3 linked regions of the Lepisosteus oculatus genome follow. The protein of the gene in region 3 interacts with the protein of the main gene of each other region in a pairwise test. Links are inferred from orthologs where the notes say so. Each region holds a gene or a part of one and is shown on either strand. Other genes may lie near its edges.

The links.
Region 1: the proteins of cops5 (region 3) and map2k2a interact in a two-hybrid assay, tested with the Homo sapiens proteins (2 studies listed by BioGRID and IntAct). The link is inferred for Lepisosteus oculatus from reciprocal best matches to the Homo sapiens genes COPS5 and MAP2K2.
Region 2: the proteins of cops5 (region 3) and gfer interact in a two-hybrid assay, tested with the Homo sapiens proteins (2 studies listed by BioGRID). The link is inferred for Lepisosteus oculatus from reciprocal best matches to the Homo sapiens genes COPS5 and GFER.

The regions. Positions count from the first base shown.
Region 1 is NC_090724.1:8,882,972-8,891,066, forward strand, and holds the start of map2k2a (dual specificity mitogen-activated protein kinase kinase 2), read left to right. Parts: upstream 1-4,930; 5' UTR 4,931-5,931; coding exon 5,932-6,023; intron 6,024-7,391; coding exon 7,392-7,602; intron 7,603-8,095. Other genes in the region: pias4a (E3 SUMO-protein ligase PIAS4-A), read right to left, coding at 1-7, 191-275, 742-1,141, 2,547-2,573. UniProt on the Homo sapiens protein: Catalyzes the concomitant phosphorylation of a threonine and a tyrosine residue in a Thr-Glu-Tyr sequence located in MAP kinases. Activates the ERK1 and ERK2 MAP kinases.
Region 2 is NC_090714.1:12,803,580-12,811,368, forward strand, and holds gfer (FAD-linked sulfhydryl oxidase ALR), read right to left. Parts: upstream 3,623-7,789; 5' UTR 3,622-3,622; coding exon 3,397-3,621; intron 2,388-3,396; exon of another isoform or gene 1,952-2,387; coding exon 1,740-1,951; exon of another isoform or gene 1,681-1,739; intron 1,428-1,680; coding exon 1,265-1,427; 3' UTR 949-1,264; downstream 1-948. Other genes in the region: drg2 (developmentally-regulated GTP-binding protein 2), read left to right, coding at 4,293-4,356, 4,991-5,151, 5,318-5,407, 5,636-5,696, 5,900-5,990, 6,160-6,232, 6,406-6,496, 7,083-7,180 and 2 more.
Region 3 is NC_090701.1:51,534,290-51,542,013, forward strand, and holds the start of cops5 (COP9 signalosome complex subunit 5), read right to left. Parts: upstream 3,195-7,724; 5' UTR 2,964-3,194; coding exon 2,827-2,963; intron 1,610-2,826; coding exon 1,375-1,609; intron 1-1,374. UniProt on the Homo sapiens protein: Probable protease subunit of the COP9 signalosome complex (CSN), a complex involved in various cellular and developmental processes.

The sequences.
Region 1 (8,095 bases), on a different chromosome or scaffold from region 3:
CAGCTCCCTGGAACAGGAGACAGAGCGATCACTCAACACGGTTCTCTCTTTTTTTTGGCATGTAGGACATGTAGGTATTAAAGCACGAGCCTGTAAATGTCCGGATAGTAACCAGATGAAGAAGAGGTGGGTATTGAGCTCCTGCAGGTTTGGGAGCAGAGAGAGAGAGAGAGAGAGAGAGAGAGCTCACCGAGAATTCCTGATCTGCTCCACCTGGCTCTGGGACAGCTCAAAGGTGCACGGGCTGTCCTGGAGTTTCTCGCTGTTCTGGGGCACTAGGGAGACAGAGAGACAGTTACAGACCAGACTCGGGAAAGCTCTGCCAAAAAAGACTGTATCCCAGCGGCCTCCCCCTGGACCTGGGCAGTGTCTGTAGGTTTTCCAGGTCTCTTTAAAGCAGCAGCACCTGCAGGTTGAAGCTGTTCAATTGGTCCAATTAAGCCACTAACGAGCATCTTCAGCCATCAAGACCTTGGCTCCAATAAAAACCTGCAGTTTGCAGGGAAGCCGGAACCCGGGACCTGTTGGACAGTCCTGCTCCAGCCCAGGTGCTGCTGAAAAGACCGAGAATCTTGTCTCCAGTGAACTTCTGTTCACAGGGGTCACTGAAGGTCGGAAATCGCAGAATAAGAGAAACCGAACTACAAAGCAAACAGCAGGAAACAGAGGAGGGAGAGGGGAGACCACACAGGAGAAAGGGCACGGCCAGCAGCTCTCCCGGACGGGTCGGGGGGGACTCACCGAGCTCGGTGGGGTGCAGCAGCACGTCCACAGTCTTGTAGAAGGGCAGGGGCACCAGCTTGACGTCGGTGGGGGGTGTGGCGGCGGTGGCGGTGGCGGCGAGGCCGTTGAGGTAGTCCGCGCCCTGCGGGGGGGCCGGGGCCGGGTGCGGGGGGCTGCGGGCCGGGTAGGGCGCCTGCAGCAGCTCGGGGGGCCGAGGCCGCTGCGCCAGCCAGCCGGGCGCCTTGGGGAAGCGCGACTCGTACAGCTGGCGGATGGTCTTGAGCAGCTCCGGGCTGCACTCGCTCTGCACCAGCCGCAGGGCCCGGCCCACCAGGTCCTGCTTCAGCCCGCTCTTGCTGCGGCCCATGGAGGACAGCAGCGTCTGCAGGTCCGACACCCGGAAACTCTTCACCATGTTCTGCGGGGCGGAGAGGAAGACAAGAGACGCTGAGCACCTCCTCTCCGGACCCTGGACCCCCTCCCCGTCCCCCCAGACTCGTCGACATGCGCTGGGCGACCTCCTCCTGCTGCACCCCAGAGCCCCAGAGGGCTGTCTCCAAGGCAATTGGGGTCCCCTCTCCCCTCTCCCCGAGAGGGGACCGATCCGGACTCCACCCCTTCCTCTTCAGAAGCGCTTTGCCCGAACTGGATCTGCCTGCCCTTTGCACCGCGGGCCGCACTCAGAACCCTTGTTCTTTACTGGAAAGCACTTTAAAAAGCAGCTTTGAAAGGCGCTATATAAAACAAAAGATCCGCACGCAGCATCGACTCCTCTCCCCAAGCAGGAGACCAGAGGCACCGCTGTGGAAACTGGCGACACCGGGCAAGCCCTCCCAGCGCCCGGCTGCCTCTCAACACAAGCCCTTCACCCCAGGACGAGCCAGCCGGACTCGTCTTTGCTCCGCCTGCGTGCAGCCCGCAGACGCGGCCGGACCCTTACAGAGCAGCCGACACACCCGCCGGGGGCTCGGACAGAAACCCACGGGCACAAGACGTCACGCCAGCGGAGCCCGAGAGGACTAAAGGCGAACAGGGCTGACGACTTCTCTCAATCAAACAGCACGGAGTTCTCTCTAAATCCATCCGGCGAAAATCAGACTGCAACAACAGTTATGATCAGCTTTGAAGCGGGGCTTCCGTCTGCGTCGGCTGTTGCCCGTCTGCACACCGGGGCGCTGCTGGCTCTGCTCAGCCGGGGAGCACCAGCGCAGGGGGGCTGCTTTGCATCTCCGCCGGCTGGGGACCAGGCACGGGTGACGGCAACGACGGGTCGGGACTCCTGCGCTGCTCGGCGTCTCCAGCCACAGACGCCGACAAGGGTGCGCTCATCGGGGTCACCGCGGCGCCCCGGCCTCACGCTGGCGCCGGCCAGGTGCCGAGCCCGGACACCGGCCCTGCAGCTCCCTTCCCCCTGGGGGCAGCGGACAGGTCCGCCTCTCTCTCGCCGGGAAAAACACACCTCGTCGCTGTCAACCCGTGAAGACGGAAGCCCCTCTCACGCCGCGCAGGGTCCCTTCAGCTGCAGGCACACGCCGGGTGCGAGGTGCCGAGCTTGCAGGAGGGGAGTGAATGATTAAACCCGAGCCGCTCCGACTCCCCGCTGGCGGATGTTTTTATTTATGGATCTATCATTCATTATCCCATATGCCAGCGACCCCTCTTCACAACGGCTCTGCCCCCTGGCGTGAATCTCCCTGCCACCCCCAGCCTCGCCGCGCTGGGCTCCCGCCCTCCCCAGCCTCGCCCGAAGCCCCCGCTCGGCTGCCCCGGCCGCCCCCCGGCCCCTTGCCCAGCCGCCCGGGAGAAAGCAGCTCTCGACTTGCCATCGCTTCCACTAGCTCGGCCGCCATCTTCCTCCAGCAGCCCCGCGAGAGCCAAAACTAAGAAAGCGAGCTGGCCGCCAATGAGAGGCCGCGGGGTCACGTGCGGGGGAGCCGGGCCCACCAATCGGCGCACGGCCCGGTCACGTGGTGCGGGGGACTGCGCAAGAAAGGGGCGTGGCCGCTGGCTCTTAAAGCGACAGTGTTAGCAAAAAGTCGGGTCACACTTCCACATAGGCTGCCAGTGGCGCGCTAGGCCTCGGCACCCTAAAAAGGCGCATGGGCTGCCTGATATCACGGGGTGCCACCTTTTAGAGCTTGATAACCCCGGAATGAACGTGCGCTCCGAGGCAGCGCCAGGGTCTTCTTACATTAATCGCGTTTCTTTAGCGGTGTCAGTCGGAAGACAGCATGAGTCTGGGAGACTCCAGTCCGTATCCAGAATTCTACTTCACACCTCGCGTCCAACCAAACGGCTTTAGGAGAAGGAATGCAATGTGCGTTTTTAAACAGGTCCAACATCTTAATTAGATCATATCTTTTTTTCTTATCGACAGAAAGGCTTATGGAAATGTTTTTGTCTGGAAGGTTTGTAGAAACCAGTGTCTGATATTTTGCACTTTGTTAAAAAGATGGAAATGAGTGTCAGAATTGTGCATTCTAGGAGCTGGATCCAGGAATCCATTTCCATGTCTTTGAAGCTGAACAGCTCTTGTAAAACTGAATTAGTTAGGAAGGACACAAAGATACGCACACCCTGTAACCCCAAGTCCTTCCACAGACTGTTCATTCGGAATGATGTGCCAGGCATGACATCTCCAGCTCTAGGCTGTGGATAATACACAGTCGCCCCACCGTTCATGAAACCTTACTTTTTTTCCCCCATTTCCATGTTAACACACCAATTTCACGAAGACACACAGACTTTCGCAGTAACACACACTAACACACAGTAACACACAGTGTGAACATGTCTGGCCAGTGAGCAACCCCACCAGCAGGAGGAGGGTGGAGGAAAGATGAAGATGGTGAATGGCTGTGCCGGATCTCCCATGGGGCCGTGCTGGCACAGCTGCTAGGGCCTAGGACATTTTTAGGGCCTACGAAGGAGGGAAACACTCCTGACTGACGAGCTGAAACAACATGCTTGCTCCACATCAACAATCCCACGCTCTCTAGCAGCTGTTCTAGAAACTAGAAGTGTGGAAGTGATGGTCTCTCGACTCGCCCCATCAATCGCCTGGTTTAGCATGAGAAGAGCGTAGAGAGGTTATGAGGAGCCATCGTAAATAGCTGTCAGTGTTTGCTGTTTGTCCTTGTAACCCACTGAAAACTGAAGTACCCCTCCTTAATTCTTACCGCGTGTGTGTGTGTGTCAGTGTGTGTGTCAGTGAGTGAGTGTGCGTGTGTGTGTAACCCCTTCAAGGAGTTTTAATCTCTGTCTATCAAGTCCAACAGGCGGAGGTAAATAAACGAGTTGTTGTTGGCACATCAGGGGTGTGTGAGCTCCATTCTGTGCGAATCCCCCGGTCCTCACAATAGTTTAAAGTGCATCATGTCAATCGACGTCATTCAACTGGCGTTGACCCCTCTCCTGGCACATTTCGGAGTGAAAGTGCCGAGGGCCGACGAGCACCACAGTCCGGCCCTGGCGAGAGGGAGAGTCAGTGTTTGTCAGCGGGGGATGATGGGATGTTGCTCTGGGAGCGCAGGCAGGGAGACCGGCTGTCAGGCTCAGGAGCAGTCGTCGGGTGGCCATGTCTCACTCTGCTGGGATTAGACTGCAGATCGTCGGGGGACAGACCCTGTCACCTGCAGTGAGTCTACCTCATTCCTTCCTCCCCTCCGGCCTCCAGGAGCCCCAACAGCTGTTCTGAGGAGTGTTTCATGCCGGTCAGGACACTGGCCCGCAGTGGGTCTCGTGGAGCAAGACAGCGCAGACACTGGGCAGACACTGTGAGCAGCTCGCCACAGAAACGGAGCTGACCAGCTGTGATCCTGCCTCTCAATTGCAGGACTCCCCCCAGGAGGTCCAAGACTGGACAGAGCAGGATGTGCAAGTGCAAGAGCACTACTACCGTTCTTATGCAAACATTTTATTTCAAATCCACCTGGGAATCTAGAAGTGTTGCGTTCCTATCGATATATATATATATGAATTATATATGTATTCCTATATATATTTTTGTGTGTGCGTGTCTAAGTCTGCTCCTGGAGCATTATAAGGACAGACAGCATTGCGCGTTGTGACAGGCAGGAACACTCGCGGTCGAAGCCACTCTGTTTCTGGAGTTACTCCATCCCGCCGCCAGAGGTCGCTGCGTGCAGCTCCAGGCGCGACCTCTAATCTCGCGAGATTTATGTTGCAACCCTGGACCGGATTCCGCTGATCGTGAAGGATGTGTGGGTGACAGATCTCGCGAGATTCCGTGGGACCCCTCCTGGCCGCGTCTGCTGCTACTGCTACTGCTTCCTGAACCGGGACCCGAACTGAGTCCCCGCCGCCCAGCTGAGAGCCTAACCGAGCCGGCGTCCCCCGGCCCATCCAGTGGACATTCGCCGCAGACACCCCGCTCACGCCCTCTCCCCGCCGCAAGGGCCGCGCAGCCTCGGGCTCTAGTGTTCGCTGCCACCGGGGGACCCTGCCTCCCTTTTCCGCGTCCGCAGAGCCGGAGACAGGCCGCGGCCGCGGTGCGCCCCAGGACAACACCAGAGACGGTCTTTCTCTCTAAACAACAGCTGAAGACTCTGAAGGAAAGGAAAAGAGACAAACGCGGTGATATGCTGTTTATTTATTTTTTCCTGGCGTCTTCCTTCAAGTGATCACTTTTCCGTACGTGTCTGAAGGTACCCGGGGGACTCGCACCTTGAAGAGGAGACTCGGGTGTTTTCAACGTTTCAAAAGCTGCAAAACCCGATTCTAACCTCCGCGCTTCGGGACGGGCAGAGGTGCCGGGGCCGCGATATTCATCCTGTCGGATGCAGACGTCGATCCGTGTGCGGTAGTCGCGCTGCTGCTGCCCGTGTCCCAGCCCCGCCGGCAGACCGGTGGCCATTAGCGACCCACCTTCCCGACCGGACCGGACCGCCCGCCCGCAGCTCTTGAGAAGGGGATGTCGCTGTGAAGAACAGCATCTCAGCTGTCAAAAAACACCCACTATCGGGGCACTCGTGCATTTCAGCTTTAATTGTCCAAAAGAAAACCTTTCCCAAGCCGGCCTGTAGAGGCGGGTGGGGGCTGCAGTCGAGACGGGGCCGCCGAAATCTCTCTCTATGTTTTAATCTGGGCTCCCGACTGGAGCTTCTGATTCAGCGAACCAGCGCCGAGTCGGTTTTCCCGGTCCAGTGCGAGCTGTGCGGGCTGGGTCGCGCCTGAGGCCCGAGCGAGATGGCTCCGAAGAAGAGGCCGATGCCGCTGAACATCACCCCCACGGGCGGGGAGGGCCAGCCCGGTCCCAACGCCGTGGACGCCGCGTCCGAGTGAGTACCTTCCGGGGGGAGCGGGTCAGCTGCTGGGGGGGGGGGGGTGTTAATGTGTTTAAAAAGTCTTCTTGCCCGAAAGGTTAGTGCATCAGTGGCCTGGAGTGAAAACGTAGCCGCGGAGCAGGGCTGAGCTGATACCGGGCGTGTGTAGGGTGTGTCGGGGGTTTGAGACCCGCTTGCTGACGGACACATCAGCAGGAAGGGTGCGACAGCGGGGTCTGGACTGGAAGGTTGGGGGTCCCCCCCCTGAGCCGGATGCTGCACCCAGAGAGCCGCAGGGAAAGACCCCGCTGTAGGAGAGGGCGCACATGGGAGTCGCTTTGTATCAAAGGGCATCGGGGAAAGATCAGTAACCTGTCGAGTTTCACCTGTTCAGACCAGTTTGTCATGAGCGCTCCCATACAAAGACATTAAAGGAATCGCCCAAAACACCAACACTGAGCAGCAGCAACAACAATAAGTTAATAAATGAGTAGCTCAGCGTAAAAGAGTGCAGGGCAGCAGTGTGTTCAGTAGCTCAGGGTGAGAATGCAGGGCAGCAGTGTGTTCAGTAGCTCAGGGTGAGAATGCAGGGCTGCAGTGTGTTCAGTAGCTCAGGGTGAGAATGCAGGGCTGCAGTGTGTTCAGTAGCTCAGGGTGAGAATGCAGGGCAGCAGTCTGTTCAGTAGCTCAGTGTGAGTGCTGGGCAGCAGTGTGTTCAGTAGCTCAACGTAAGAGAGTGCAGGGCAGCAGTGTGTTCAGTAGCTCAGTGTTATAGTGCTGGGCTGCAGTTTGTTCAGTAGCTCAGTGTTACAGTGCTGGGCTGCAGTGTGTTCAGTAGCTCAGCGTAAGAGAGTGCAGGGCAGCAGTGTGTTCAGTAGCTCAGCATGAGAGTGCTGGGCTGCAGTGTGTTCAGTAGCTCAGCATGAGAGTGCTGGGCTGCAGTGTGTTCAGTAGCTCAGCATAAGAGAGTGCAGGGCAGCAGTGTGTTCAGCAGCTCAGTGTGAGAATGCAGGGCAGCAGTGTGTTCAGTAGCTCAGCATGAGAATGCAGGGCAGCAGTGTGTTCAGTAGCTGAGCGTGAGAGTGCAGGGCTGCAGTGTGTTCAGTAGCTCAGTGTGAGAGTGCAGGGCTGCAGTGTGTTCAGTAGCTCAGCGTGAGAGTGCTGGGCAGCAGTGTGTTCAGTGTTCAGTTTGTCACGAGCGCTCCTGTACAAAGACGTTAAGGAATCACCGTTACCCCGGAGCAGCAGCAGTGTCCGTATGGAAGGTGGGAGCGACCAGGAGCCCAGACGACGTTCAGACACTGCTGGCAGTGAAGGGAAACCTGTGGTGTTAGCTGACTTCCCAAACTGTGCACTGAACACTGTCGTGATGTCCCCCCCCAGGGCAAACCTGGAGGCCCTGCAGAAGAAGCTGGAGGAGCTGGACCTGGATGAGCAGCAGAGGAAGAGGCTGGAGGCCTTCCTCACGCAGAAGGCCAAGGTGGGCGAGCTGAAGGACGACGACTTCCACCGCATCTGCGAGCTGGGCGCCGGCAACGGCGGCGTGGTCAACAAGGTGTGCCACCGGCCCTCGGGGCTGGTCATGGCCCGCAAGGTGAGTCCCAGTGGGGCGGAGCCCTCCAGTGGCTCTCTCTGAGTGAGTTCGTTAGAAATCAATCCTGTTGTGAGCTGTGAACGTAAGGGTAGCAGGTTATTTCCGTGTCGAGGGAGGGCGTGGCTCATCTTTGCCGTAAGATGACGATATCAGTGGGGTTTCAGCTGCTGCTTCACCAACTACCGTCAGTTCAATTTCGGAAAGTTGTACTTATTCAATTTCTTTTTATATAGCGCCTTTCACAACAGGGTTGCGTATTGCGATGATCAGATTGCATGAAACGTTCCAAGTGTTGCAGACTGCGCTGGAGTGGTCTGAAATTAAACTCCTGGAGTTGCAGCTGGGAAAGGACATCCTTCTGCAGGAGGAAGCACCTTATCGGGCACTGAGAGAAGGAAGCAGGATGAGAGATCTCAGAACAGCTGAGCCGAATCCGGTCACTGTACTAACGCATTTCTGTTTCATCTGGTCTCCAGTCCAACACATCCATGTG
Region 2 (7,789 bases), on a different chromosome or scaffold from region 3:
CTACTACTGTGCTTCAAATCCACAGCCTCTCACAAAATGTCTCACACCCCTAAGTTAATAATGGAAATAAAATCTCCCCCAGGTCCTGTTTAATTCTAACCTTTTGTCAAGAGAAAATATATAAAACATAACAGCTCCTGGGGGGATTTTATATTCAGTGCAGAACTGTGAAGTTGGGAGTGGAACAAGAGTTAAGGGACTTAAAATCGCCTGAAAAAGAAAAGAAACACGAGAACATGGCTAATATTTTGCAAACTCATACTCAATGGGACGGGGTTCAAGTACAACCTGTAGTATTCATGAAGCAGAGGTAGACTTGCACATTTCAAGTTAGTAAGTCATTTTCTGAAGCGCACCTTTTGCAGGGAAGTTTATGAGCTGCCCCTGTTGGGTCATAGGGTATTTGCAACTATAAACAAAGATGGGAAAATCATGTTATGTTACAGGAAGAAAGAATACTACATACATGCGTGTGTAAGTTGATCGCTTGATGTACTGTGCTACCATAAGTGACTTGCGTTAAACAGAACAGAAAACCCTTCTATACTGCAGACTATTTGTCAGGAAATGGCTCTGTATCTGCAGAAACAATACCAGAAAACCAACGAAAACACAGCACAGCCATTTTGCACTTTCCACTGGTAATCATATCCTTTGACCTGATAAAGCTGCTGTGCTTTCTCTGGTTTTTAAGTTCTCTCAAGTATCATTAAAGATACTATTGCAGGGTGTTCCCCTGTTCTGTACAGTCACAATCCAGAACTGTTATAAGATTATAGGATTTAAAGACTTCCGTTGAGCCAAAGTAAGAGCATATTGCTATGCTACTACATTGTATGGTAAGTATTTGATCTGAAAACAAAGACACGTATTCAAATACTGGAATTACTTGTCCCAGGGATCAAAATCAGGCATTGAAGAGGTAATTGATTAGCTAAGGTTCATTCGTAATTGCGGATGGTATTAGTGCTTTATTTTTCCCCAATTAACAAGCTAGAACAATTGGTCGTTGCCTTATTTAGAGGAGAAATATTCACTCGTTTGTCAAACGAAAATCGCAGAGAGACGATGTCAAACGGGAAACGGAGACCCGTTTTTCTTTTCATGAGAGCCGGGTCAGCTCACAGGACACAAAAACCAAAGGTCTCGGAGCCGAGGAAGGGAGGGGACCGGCGCGCGCTGGGATGCCTACTTCTGAAAGGGCCGTGCACGCGCGGCAGCCTTCAGTCAAGGCTCAGGGTCTCCGTGCCCAGCGGGGCCTGGTTCAGTCGCAGGATCCATCTTTCCAGCCATCTCGCCATCGTTCATCCACCTTCCCACAGTCAAACTCAGGCTTGCCCAAGCGGACGTTGATTTCGTTATGCAGGTGGCACATCCACTGAGACAGGTTGTGCCGGCTGCTCGTGTCCGGCTGATTAGATTTCAGTCTGCAATAGGAGGGAAGAATGACAGAGTAAGAATCGCCCGTGTTTGTCAAAATATAGCCTTGACTTAACAGTGCGAGGTGCTGCACACTTCTTAATCTCCCATCCTTGCTGCGAGTCTGATGAAATGTGTCATTCTTACAGTGCAACAACTTTTAACGTAATACCACTGATCGTTTACATGAAGTAACACAGAGTCGATATTTTAAGTGACAAAAACAATACACGCCATCTTTCAAATCCTCTCTACAAACAGACGGCATCCGTTCCCCCGGATGTCAGCTCTCTGCCAGGCGGAGGAGGCCAATCCCGAACCTGGATCTCAAGTCCTCGGCGCACTCCTCGCAGGGGAAGAACTTGGAGAAGAGATTGACGAACTGCTTCATCTCCTGCTGCTGGCTGCCGCTGGGCGTGTCGGGGTAGTAGGCTGCCATGGTGTGAAGAAAGGACCAGGTGCTCCTGCCCAGCTCCTCCCGATCAAGGGGGCACTCCACGGGACGCTCCCTCTCCTCCTCCCCCCGGCTCTCCTGAAGAAAGACGACCGCGTCATTTACACCCCCTGCCCCATCTCCTCCTCCTCCTCCTCCATTCCCTGGAGGTGTGATCAGTATGGACTTCTTCAGTCTGAGAGTGTCAATATACCCTTCACCCCGCCAAGCCCATTACTGCGGATTCAGTATATGTGATAAACAGGGCGGATTGGTGGCTCTGTGGCTCAGGATCTGCGCCTGTGGCTGGAAGGTTGCCGGTTCGTATCCCGCGGCCAGCAGGGGAATCCTACTCTGATGAGTAACCCTTAACCCCAGCTGCTCCAGGGGTGCTGTATAAATGGCTGACCCTGCGCTCTGACCCCCAGCTTCTCTCCGTGTCTGTGTCTCATGGAGAGCAAGCTGGGGGTATGTGGAAAAACAAATTCCTAATGTGAGAAATTGTATATGGCCAATAAAGTAATCTTATCTTAAACAGTTCTTTTCCACGTTAACATTTTGTCTCCCCATCATACTCTGTACAACAGCTCCACCTAGTGGGTGGGTTCCAACAGCCCCATATATCATCTCAAAACATCCACTTTATCAACACAGGGCCGCAGGGGAGCCAGACCCTATTCTGAGCTGAAGTGGCAGACTCAAAGGTCTGTTCCCATTGTATACCACCTGCTCCTCAGAAGAATCGGCAGAATTTGTGTTAAGAACTGGACTGTGAGGACGAAAAATGCTTAAAATCATCTGGAGCTAGACTATTTTGTACCTTCCACGTGAGCAAGAAAACCCTAAACCTCGGAGTTTCCAACTCTACATGTTGGAGGGAGACAGTGCAATTTAAAGGACAGTTATGTGCTCACGCAGAACACATCTGGTTAGGAGGTAAGGGGCTTTAGTACATCCAGTATTCACTAACCCATTTAGAGACAGCAGATATTCCAGTGTGTAAACTTAATCCTGATGAAATAAAGGTATGTAATAATATTTCAGCGTTTCAGACATAACTGCTTAAGCGTCTTAACCAAAGCTATGCACCTGGGAGAAAGATTCCCTCCTGACGTTCCTGACCTGCAACACGTAAAAACTTCCGAGACCTAGAAGTAAAGGGCAAGCAGACGGCAGAAAAAAAAGAAAGTCGTGAAACTTCAACATTTTCACGCGTCCCTGACAATGGGATTCAGTCTCCGTAGTGTAGAAAAATCTCGGCGACAACTCCATGTCCAAACCTGAAAACTGATCGTGCTATTTTTATCGTAGGAAGTCCGCAATTCTGCAAAGACGCGAGAAAAGAAAATGTATTTTGCACAGAGTAAACTGTAAAGCTGATCAGTTTATCCCACAATGATACTAACACTGCAGTTAAGTAAGCAGATTTAAATAATACGATCCACGTGTAATATTAACTGACTTAAACGTGATCCGAATACATTCTAAATCCAATGTCTTGACTCGGACAAGTGTAGCACTGAATTGAACCTCGTTTGCATCACCTGAAGCGTTGACTGTTTCCTCTGCTCTTTGATCCACGATTTAAAATCCATGCAAGCCCTGCAAGGTTTCTTTTTATGTTCATCCGTCTTTTCCGACGCTTTTTCAGAGGGGACAGCTGGAATCGCGAACGGGAAACCGGCAAGCCCGGCTACTGAAGAAGGGTCAGGCGCTCTCGTACCGCCGGTCGCAGCCATGTTCAAGGCGCAAAGGCTTCTGGGATGCATTCTATATTTGACATATGACAGACATGTCTCTTATATAACGCATTATCTCTGGTCTGTACATATGCATATAAAACAAAGACATTTCAACAAATACATTAATTTTATTTTATTTTAACCCTCCATCTTTTTATGTACATAAAATAGAATGTAACAACGTATAATTATTTGGTCATCTGAGTAAATAAAAAAAATACTAACGCGAGCATGTTCTCTATTATTTCTCCAATATAGCTATATTTTCAAAAGATAATATATTGTGCTTTTAAAGGGGGTTCTATCACACGTTACCTGCCCTGAGCTGAAAGACTTTCAACTCAAAATACTCTGGAACTAAATTCTCTTTCGAGCGGGTTTGGTTGCACTCCGAACTATTTTACGGTGGCTCCCTTTTCCGGAGGGAGTAATTGTCTTGTGCATGCACTTTGTGTAGGGAAGTGTAGAAGTAATATTATTGTCTCCTTATTGACAGTCTTTCATTTATTTTCAAAATATATATTAAAAACCGTGTTTAATTATTCAGGCCGCTTTATGGCTTGCAAAATGTTGCAAATGCTAAACGCTCTTTTGTGAAATTCGAGCCTGGTTTTGCGGACAGGACACGTTGTGCGTGACAGAGCTACATGTCTTTTTAATTTCCAAGTATTCTATAAAAGGACACCTCGGAGTTAAAAATGGGAATCCTCGAGAAAATATCAGACATCGAAAAAGAAATTGCACGGACCCAGAAAAACAAAGGTACGTTCGGTGATTTATGTTAGCCTTTAAGGCAGGGGTAGCCACAAAAACGTGAGAAAAGATACAGACGAATACAGGCTATTCAGCACATCCAGGCCATTTAGTAGTTATTCGTGAATTGTTCCAGTCATTTCTCCCAGCTGTTTCCTGGAAGAATCCAAGTTATCCGTTTCAACAAGATGGCTGGGTAGCTTGTTCCATACTCCCACGACCCTTTGGGTAGATCAGTGCCTTGTGTTCTCAGTTTTAAATGCACATCTACGTAGTGTCCCCTGTTCTGGTAAGAACATAATAATTGTTGTACATTATGATAAGTCTTGCAGGATTGGTCCTTAAAAAAACCAGAGCGCTGAAGAACATTGATAATTAAGGATGATCTACAGCACAGCAAAGACTTGTAATGGGATGGAAGTAACAAGTTAATAACCCCTGCTTTAGTGTTGCTTTTACAGTTTTAATGGGGGGGTTGGGATGACACAGAGAAATCAACCAAAATATTATAGTAGAGAGTAATTGTGCAGCAACATCAAATGAGTTTTCTGCAGCACCAGTTTCAAAACATGTTAGTTACATTTTTTAGGATATAAGGTATAGATTTCCTTGACACTACATTGTTGTTTTTTTGGGTTTGCAGCAACTGAGTACCATCTGGGTTTGCTGAAGGCTAAATTGGCAAAGTACAGAGCCCAGCTGTTAGAACCTTCCAAGTCAGCTGGCGCCAAAGGCGAAGGCTTCGATGTGATGAAATCGGGCGATGCCAGGGTGGCACTGATTGGTTTCCCATCCGTGGGTAAGGTAAGGCACCTACTTTCTGCCAAAGTCCTAGTTTTTACTCTGCCTATGTGAAGGAAAGGTTTATAATGTGTGTCGGAATTGGCGTACAAAGGTATATTACGCCATAGGTTGTTTGAGGAACTTCCTAAACTTCTGATTGAGGCGATGTGATGTTTCTGTTTCGTAGTCCACCTTCCTCAGCCTTATGACATCAACAGCGAGTGAGGCCGCCTCCTATGAGTTCACGACCTTGACCTGTATCCCTGGAGTTATTGAGGTATGGTTGTCTTGCTTTCCTTCTTTGAAAAGGGTGCACATGATTTCACAAAGGAGCCTTAAATTTGTTTGGCATCCAGGTCAATGCAATGGCAATATGAATCCACCAATATTTTTAGAGGTATTCTCTTTGTTTGTTTTTTTAGTTTGTTTTGTAAAAGGAAAAACATCAAAAGGTTTTTTTTTTGCACGACACTGGTTAACAGGTGATGTGGATTTTTTCTTGCAGTATAAAGGTGCCAACATCCAGCTGTTGGATTTACCTGGGATCATTGAAGGGGCAGCACAAGGTAATTTAATTGGAAGTGATAGCTTTGTGATCCCTTACAATTTAGGAAGGTTTTAATTAATAAGACATCTCATTTGCAATGTGATGACCCTGGTGTGTTTTCAGTGCTGGGCTAGCTTCTCAGTGAGCAGCCATTTTGCTGGGCTGTAGGTGTAACTGGTGCTAGCATGGCCTTTATCAGTGTGTGGGTGCTGGTCTTTGCAGGGAAGGGTAGAGGAAGACAAGTTATTGCTGTTGCCCGAACTGCAGATGTTGTCATAATGATGCTGGATGCCACAAAAGGGGATGTTCAGAGGTTAGTGATCTGCTTTTTAAATAAATTAAATTATTTATGCGTCATATGAAAAACCTCCAGTTTAGTTAAAAGCGAGTATGCTGTGTCCCTGAAAAACAGTTTATTTAAAATGTCTTCCTATGTTTAAATGCAGTCCTTGAATGTAATCTTTTATTTATTTTTTTTACAGGGGGCTTCTGGAAAAGGAGTTGGAATCTGTTGGAATTAGGCTCAACATGTCGAAGCCTAATATATATTTCAAGGTATTATCTGGGGTTAACTTATGTACAGATCAGCAATAAAGCAAATGTTAGTGTAAATGAGAAATAGCCACAACATGCTTAAAATGTATAACATGTTTGATTATAAGTTTAAAGTGAAGCCTTATATCTGAATTTTCTTGGAGCGATATTGATTTGTAATATTTTTTTTTCAGCCCAAGAAGGGTGGAGGCATCTCCTACAACTCCACAGTCCCCCTTACCCACTGCTCTGAAAAACTAGTGCAGCTTATTCTTCATGAATACAGTATCCTTTAATGTCAACCTAAAAAATCCGCTTGTTTTCGGGTTGTGATAGCGTGCTTTAATGTGTCTTACCCTAGCGGTGTGCTTTTTGCTCCAGAACAACAGGAACTAAGATACAGGGTGATTTACATGTCTTCTCTTTCAAGAGATTATTTATAGAAACATTACACTGTTCATTAAACCTTTGCTTATCAATTTTTTATTAATGGTGGCTGTTAGTTTATGGTCTCTTTTTAAAAGATGTTTTTTTTATTATAGAACCAGAACAGATACAATAAAACTGTGTAGTCATTTCATACAGGAGCATCAATAAGGTTTAAAATTGTTTTAGTGACATTTCAGAATGAGTATTATGACTTCCCAATGTTTGTGTTGTTTCCTCTCCTTTGGGAAAAAAAACATTTACATTGCTTAAAAGCAATTTAGATGACCTAATATGGTGCAATATGACAAACTGCCGTGTATAACACTGAGAAATAACTTGTGTGTTTCATTGAAATAATCAGAAGATATTAAGACACCAATATACAGATATGAAATATGTTTATGCATGTTATAAACATTTTCTTTAAAAAACATCCTCACAGAAATCTTTAATGCAGAGGTTTTGTTTAGAGAAGACTGTACTTCAGATGAGTTCATCGATGTAATTGTGGGAAACAGAGTATATATGCCATGCTTATACGTAAGTATAAAACGGTGCTGAGTGTTTTTTTTTTTATCTAAAGGGTGCAAACTGACAACAAAAAATAAATTGACTCTCATTTTTGGACTTTAGAGAAATTTCTTGTCAAAAAGTGTAGACCTTTGTTTTTGCAGGTGTACAATAAAATTGACCAAATCTCGATGGAAGAGGTAGACCGTTTGGCCAAACGACCCAATAGCGTGGTCATTAGGTAAATATCCTGTGGCCGTTTTTCTTGTTTCAGAAAAGAACAGTGGCATTGTTGCACTTTTTCATGTTTGCTGATAAGACCATGTTTTTTTTCAGCTGTGGGATGAAGCTTAATCTAGATTACCTTCTTGAGACACTTTGGGAGTACCTGGCCCTCATCTGCATCTACACTAAGAAAAGAGGAGGTATCCTTAGCTCACTAAAACATCTGTTCAGTAGACACAGAAGTTAACAGTGAATGTCCTAACTATTTTGTCCACTGCAATAACTAATTTTGATTCTCTGACTGTGGTGGTTTTAGAAGGCATCAGTGTTTACAGGCAATTATATAGGCTTCCCTTTCTCTACTAAAAATGTACTTTTTATATAATACATTTATTCTGCCATGTTGGAGACTAA
Region 3 (7,724 bases):
AGTTGTCATGGAGTAAAATAAGCAAAGACATTTCCTACAAAAGGTAGGATCTATTGCTTAAGACAAACCCCCCCAAAAATGTCATACTTCAGAAAGTATGCGCTTTTTTCATAGATGAGTATGTCGACGAAATCTTGTATCTCTAGTGCATGCTTAGATAAGATTGCACAATTATCTGTTAAAGGCCTTAAAAGAAACACCTTAAAAATATTAAAAGGTGTTGATGTTTTACATGTCATTGTGAATGACTGTAGTTTCCCTTGGACTCATAAAGGTCAGCTGTCCACGACAACAACAACAAAAAAAAAAACAAATCAAAGTGTTCCCCCACCTGGACACACTGTCCATTGCATTTTTATGTCTTTTTAGTCCGCATCAACGAAAAAAAAACCCTGAAACTTATATTCTGAAAGAAGGCACAAACCACAATTATTGTACAAGACTGGATCACAATACACATAAGAGCTAAAATAAAGGAAACACCTATATAAACTGTCTTCACAGTGTGTTGGGCCTCGTGGGCTGCCAGAACAGCTTCAATTAATTCAATACGCTTTGCTTTGAAGTGTCAAGTTTTATCTGAACATAAGAAACGTCTCAAATGAGATGAGCGTGTTCCATAGTACTGCAACCCTCCTGAACCTTACTATTCTTGGACAGTGAGACACGAACCAGAGGACGAGGGCGGAAATTAAATCGATGTAAAGTTGAAAACAAAAACAGGAGGCACCTCCGTGTGCAGGGGGTTGTGGGAATATGGAACAGCTAAACCCTCAAATCAAAATCCAATCAAAGTTTATTTATCAAATGCACAACAACACAGCGTGCAGCAGTAGTTGCTGGCAATGAAATGTCTTTTCTACGAGCTCACAATAGAAATTGAATAAAATAAACTCAGAGAAAACTCAATATGAATAGAGCTGCTATGTGTCCATGGTGTATGCAATGTATTATGTCCAAGTAGTGCAGTATGATGAATACAATGAGAACTGTATGTCCATGTAGCCATTACGGGTGATATGCTAAAGGAGCTGCAGGTTGGCTATTTAGCAGTCTTATTGCCTGGAGGTAGAAGCTGTTCCATAGTCTGTTGAATCCTGCATGTTATTGAAGCGTCTTTCATCAAACGATGAGATCCGTGGATCAATGAACTACCAAACCAGGCTGGATGGGCAGAACGGCCTCCTCTCTCAGGCGGGGAGGACCCTGGCGTGGAATGCCGGAGCACGGACCACCGCAGGACCTCGGCAAGCCGAGAGGGAGACTGAGGTGCGAGATTTTCTTAAACCACGCCACCGGAAAAAAAAACAAGCCAGAAACGCGGCCGAGCGCCCGTGTCTCCGACGTCGGAGAAGGCCGGAGCGCCCCGCTGACCTGCTTGGCGTTCTCGATGTACGCCGCCATGTACTCGTAGGCGGCAGCCTGGGCGTTCACCCGGGTCTCCGTGCCCTCCACAGGCAGGGCGAAGCTGTCCATGATCATCATGGTCTCCCCGTCCACCTTGCCCAGCATCAGGCCCATCACCTCCAGGTTGCCGCCGGACCTGGCGTGCATGACCATCTTCAGCAGGGCCAGGGCCGAGATCTTGCAGTACTTGAAGTAGTGGTGGCTGCAAAACACGCACGGCCAAACGGAGAGAACTGCGGTGAGCCACCTGTCCCCCCCGTCGGATTATTTCAGTGCTAATAATCAGACACTGCCCCTGGTCTCTGAGGCATCAATCTCTAGAAGTCAACACCAGATGAGGTGCTGCTTTTAGGCTGGGAGGGACAAAGACAATAATAATAATTTCTTACACTTATATAGTGCTTTTCTGGACACTCCACTCAAAGCGCTTTACAGTAATGGGGACTCCCCTCCACCACCACCAGTGTGCAGCCCCACCTGGATGATGCGACGGCAGCCATAGTGCACCAGTACTCTCCCCACACACCAGCTCTCAGTGGGGAGGAGAACAGAGAGATGAAGCCAATTCATAGATTATTCTTAGGTCATGATTGGTAAAGGCCAATGGGAAATTTGACCAGGACACCTACTCTTTTTGAGAAACGCCCTGGGATTTTTAATGACCACTGAGAGTCAAGACCTCGGTTTAACGTCACATCCGAAAGATGGCGCCCACTACAGTATAGTGTTTCTCCAGTATACCGTGGCATCAGGACCCCACACAGATCGCTGGTCCCACTAACACCACTTCCAGCAGCAACCATAACTTCCCAGGTCGTCTCCTATCCAGGTACTGACCAAACTCAACCCTGCTGAGCTTTACTGGGTAGCCAGCTGCAGGGTGATATGGCTGCCGAGCCAGTTCAATTCATTCAGCTCAATACGTATCACTGGGCACTGCCGGCAGTGCTCTGGTACTCGGCACTGGAGAAGCCCGACCTCTCTCTACAAAATCGATTGTGAGGATAATCAGAGCCTAACGAATGCAACCCATCGTATTATGTTCCAGGGAAATTGAAAAGGAAACATTATGAAACTTTTCTTTTTATTTTAAACTGTCAGCTTTTTTAAAAGCACGATCAAGAAATAATCAAGAGATCCTCATCCAGAAAACCGCAAGCGGAGAGACCTTTGACCAAACCATACTGCGTTATGAAATTTGCGAATTTCTGCAAGTGTACGAGTTTTGGCTAGCAAATCATTTAATAAACACGCATTAAATAATCTTTTGTCTCCTTTTTTTTTTTACTAAGAAAAAGCGGTAAGAAAATGAATCAAAAGAAAACAACAGTGAAAGCACTGAAACGGGCCACCTAACAGTTACGTTACAAAACGCATCGCGAACAGAGGTTTGTATGCATTTTTTAAAAAGAAACTCACTCTTTTGTCCACGGTTTCGCAGCTAGGATCTCTTGCTGTTGTTTCTTGTCGTATTTATAAATTTCATCAATGCTCTGAACTTCCTGCATACTGTTGGAGAGCTCCCATGTCTTCTGCGCCATACCGCCCCCGGCCATCTTCCCAGCTGAAACGCTCTCTATCTCTGTGCGTTAGATCAATTAAACCTGCCTCGCCCTTCGGAAGAAGATAACCCCCCTACAAAACACCCTTGAGAACAACGGAAATGTAATTTTTCTTGCGATGTTGTAGCTAAACTTCGCTAACGATCGCCGGCGCTACCTAACAACACAGCCATGACACGGACAACTACCACCGAGCCCACCCTGGGGTGGTCTGAAAATGACAAGAACCCGAAAATGGATGCCGACAACCACAATCACTATGTGTAAAAAATACAAATACAAAACTAAGAATTTTCTCAGTCTTTAAGTTATCGAAAAATCTCTATGTGCAACGCATTCTAAAGAATATTACAACAACAAAAAAAGAAACCCGTGACTTCAATGGTTCGGTCCAGACGGCTTCGGTGGGACGCGAGCGAGCCCTTGAGGTGATAGAGCCCCCTGCTGGCGGCTGTCTGCAGCTGCACATTTAGTTTCCAGAAAAGGAATAAATAAGGATTTCCTCCCAGTCCAGAAACATGCTGTCAGGCCAACTGATGGGGTGTTTCTGTCTGTGTCTTCCCTGTGATGGACTGGCCCGAGGTATACTCTGTCTTGTCCCTGTAGCTTGCTGACACAGGATCTGGATCATCTGCGATCCTGAATTGGAAGAAGCAGTTAGCAAGTGGATGGAGGGATGTAATACATGAATATATTTTAAATTCATATTAGTTTCGTTCATTACTCCCTGGTGGCAGAGTCTAACATAACAATCCAACAAAAACGAACATCATCAACAAAGAAGACGGTACAACTGTGTTTCAGGAGATGAGTTTTTTTTTTACATTGCTTGAGAGTGAGATTGCAAAGATGATAAGATAAAACAGACAAACTGGGCTAACGTTTCCAATACAATAATGTGTGTTAAAACAAGCCTGGTCAGTACCTGGATGGGAGACTCCTGGGAAAAACTAAGGTTGCTTCTGGAAGAGGTAATAATAATAATTATAATTAATAATTGCTTACACTTATATAGCGTTTTTTGGATACTCCACTCAAAGCGCTTTACAGGTAATGGGGACTCCCCTCCACCACCACGCTCACCACACACAAGCTCTCAGTGGGGAGGAGAACAGAGTGATGAAGCCAATTCATATTTGGGGATTATTAGGAGGCCATGATTGATAAGAGCCAATGGGAAATTTTGGCCAGGGCGCCAAAGAGGTGTTAGTGGGGCCAGCAGGGGTCGCTCACCCTGCAGTCTATGTGGGTCCTAAAGCCCCAGTATAGTGACGGGGACACTATACTGTAAAAAAGGCGCTGTCCTTCGGATGAGATGTAAACAGAGGTCCTGATTCTTTGTGTTCATTCAAAATCCCAGCGTTTTTCACGAAAAGAGCAGGGGTGTTTCCCCAGTGTCCTGGCCAAATTTCCCATTGGCCTTTATCAATCATGGCCTCCTAACGATCCCCGCCTCTAAACTGGCTTCATTACTCTGCTCTCCTCCCCACTGAGAGCTGGTGTCTGGGGAGTGTACCGGTGCACTGTGGCTGCCATCCCATCATCCAGGTGGGGCTGCACACTGGTGGTGGTGGAGGGGAGTCCCCATTACCTGTAAAGTGCTTTGAGTGGAGTGTGCAGAAACGTGCTACAGAAGTGCAAGCAATTATTATTAATTCTATCCCAGAGGATTGAGAGGATCCACGTCATCCACAGCAAGCAAGCTAGAATGGACCAACGGCCTCCTCTCGGAGAGCAGAGTGAAATTTAAATGGTATGAGCCCCCGCTCTTTGGAACAGTTCAGTTCAGTTTATTTGTCAGTTTATTTGTCATATCCACAAGTGCAATGAAATGCTTATTTGCACGTCTGCTCCGATACCAGGACATTAAGGAAACACCAACACAGAACAGCAGCAGCAGCGACAACAACATACAGTACAACTGACATACCGACGTACCCACGTAAATAACATACAACGTAAATAGAAGTCAGTGGCTCTGGACCTGCTTTAAACATACAGTGACGGAGAATTGCTTTAATAAAGCAGATGTCATTTTTTATTGATAAAGGCTGGAAGAATCCGTTTGAAAAACAAAAAAGAGATCTAGACTTGAAAGAAATCAGACGTGAATTTGATCCACAAATAACCCCAAACACAGGGGATCAAAGATCACCAGGATCAAAGAACAGGGTCACCAGGATCCCTTATGGGACAGCAGTGTATAAGTGTCCCTCCAGTCCACTAGGGGGTGCTGTGTAATTCCCTGTGCTCTGGTGTTTGAGGTTCTCCCGCCCCTCGCTCTTCTTCCCTGCAGCACCGGGCGGCAGTTCCCTGCTGCTGCTGCTGACAAGTTGCCCTGCGGGCTTGTTGCTGCTGGGCGGCGGATCCGCTGTGTTATTCGTTGAAACCCGGCGGCCGTAAAACCACTCAGGACGTGGACACCTTCGTGTGTTGTGTTTTTTTTCTCCCAGGGGAGGATGCGCGCTGTTCCGCTGAGGATACGTTGAACTTGTCGTACGGTACGGGACCTTTTCAAAAACATGCAGTTTGTGTTCGAGTCAGTAACGTTGAACTGTCGTGTTTAATACTTTGCTGAAGGGGGTTGTTGTGTCTGGAGCGCCCTACTTATCTCGAATGATCCTCCCCGGAACCGCATATATTTATTGCTAAAGTGAGAAGTCTACGTTTTAAATGATAAGTTTCCTGACGGGGATGTTTGTCAACTATTTGTCGATAAGCTGCAGTTAATATTAGCGGTTGTGCTCGGCGCCGCGAAGTGGCCTAAGACGTTGTGTACAGTGGTTGCCTAACAACGGGTATTAAAGAGGCAGTGGCACTGATTTCTACGTTATTTTTTAAATTTTATTTCATTGGAAATAATCTGAAGACAGTGATGCCCCTGCTTTTTTAAGCTTTTTTTTCTGAAGACTTAATTTACGTTAGTATTAAAACAAATTGAGCGACTTAAAATTTAAATATTTACGCCGTTTCACAAAATAGTACGGCAAGTATTCAGGCCAATTTCACACAAACTTAGAAACCGACAGGGGTGTCCCGGTATATCCACATCTGTTCACGCTTGTTAGCAGAGCTGCATGATTTGTGTTTTTGTTCTACAGGAGCTGTGCTGGGTCTTACTGCTTTGCTATGTGGTCTGTTGGAAGGAATGGTTTTATAAAGGTGACTTTGAGATTCCCAGTGTCGCATTTAAGGTTTACGTGTTGTGCGTAATGGTGAAGGTGGGCTGTTTTCATTCCAAAAAAGTGTTAAGTAACTGATGTCCCAAATGTATTAAGGCAGGTCAAGCATTCTTATCAGAAGGGGCAGTTAATGTAACTGGCACTTCTACTACCTAGAAAAACAGCCAGTTACGTTTTTTATTGCTTTCTTTGGAGGTTGTTTTCCCAAAAGTCGATTACATCTTGAAACAACAGGTTCTACCCCCAGCTGTCTGTACCGTATGTATAATGACCTTTATGTTCTGTATTTTGGGGAAGGGTTCATTTAGCCAAAACGTCTTCCGAGTTCAGGTCTTTTAACCTTGAGAGTAAAGACTGCTGAGCGCTTTGACAGTAAGTGTGAGTAGTGCTCTTCAGTGATTTCTTTCCCCCTCCATTTGTGTTTTTGACATTGCACATGATTCCTTATAGATACCTTCACAGATATCAGGAGGAGCAGGAGTACTTTTGGAAGGGGGGAATTATGTGAGGAAGTGCAAAAGGAATAAAGAACTAACCTGTGAACTTAACGATCCAGGCTGATTAAATTGGCTTCTGGCATTTTGACTTTGCTGGTAAAGCAGTTTTGAATGCCTTTGAAGAAGACGCTTATCTGGGTTATAACTCTCCCAGTGTTCAGCTTACTTGGAAGTGAATACGTGGAAAAGCAGTACTTTTTTCTTTAAAAAAAAGGTAACTTAATAGAAATGTTCTTACAATACTGTGTTTTCTCCCATGTCTTTAAAAAGCCTGATTTCTAGATACATCTACATTGCATATTGAGTGACTCATCTGTTTTCTTTAATTAGATTAATACTTATAGTAGTCATAGAGCCAAAGTGTAATCAGAGAAAAGTGCTTTGTTCTGCAGTAAGTCCCATCTTCCAGAAGCAGAAGCTGAGAATCTTAGTAGTGTCTAAGATAATTTTGTCCAGTGCTGCTTTAACAAAGTGCATGTGTCTGTGTTGCTGCATGTTAAAATATGTAACAGTGCATTGTACGCATGAACACGAATGAGTGCCAAGCCCAGTACAGTGCAGTATACAGTACATCTAAAGGCCACGCTGGCATTTCATTGTTTACTTTGGTGGTCATGGTGAGCAGGTTAGTCATCAATTCGAATTCTAGGGTTGTAGAAGATCTACATATTTTGTTTGTGGAGAGCAAGGGCACAAAAGTTTACATGTTTCCTGAATACATTTAAAATATCCAAAGTAGAATATGTTGCTGCATTTTGTGTCAGGCACCCTGGCGTTCTAGGGTATCATTTCTTTACTCTTTGTATTACTGTATGTGGCATCAGTGATGTGTCTCCAACAGTGCATATCGAGCACCTTTTCATTTTAGCCAAGATGTGAATAAGGATCTTTGTTCAGTAATCACTAATTTTATTCCGGAAAGGCAAAACATCTTTTTGGGCTGTATTTCAATAATTCTTTATAAAATCTCACATCAATATTTCCAGTCAAGGGAAAGTAATGTTTTTGTTTAAAATAACTTTGCATTGAGAGAGAAGATGTCTTAATTGTGTTCTACATATTAAAGATAGGTGAAC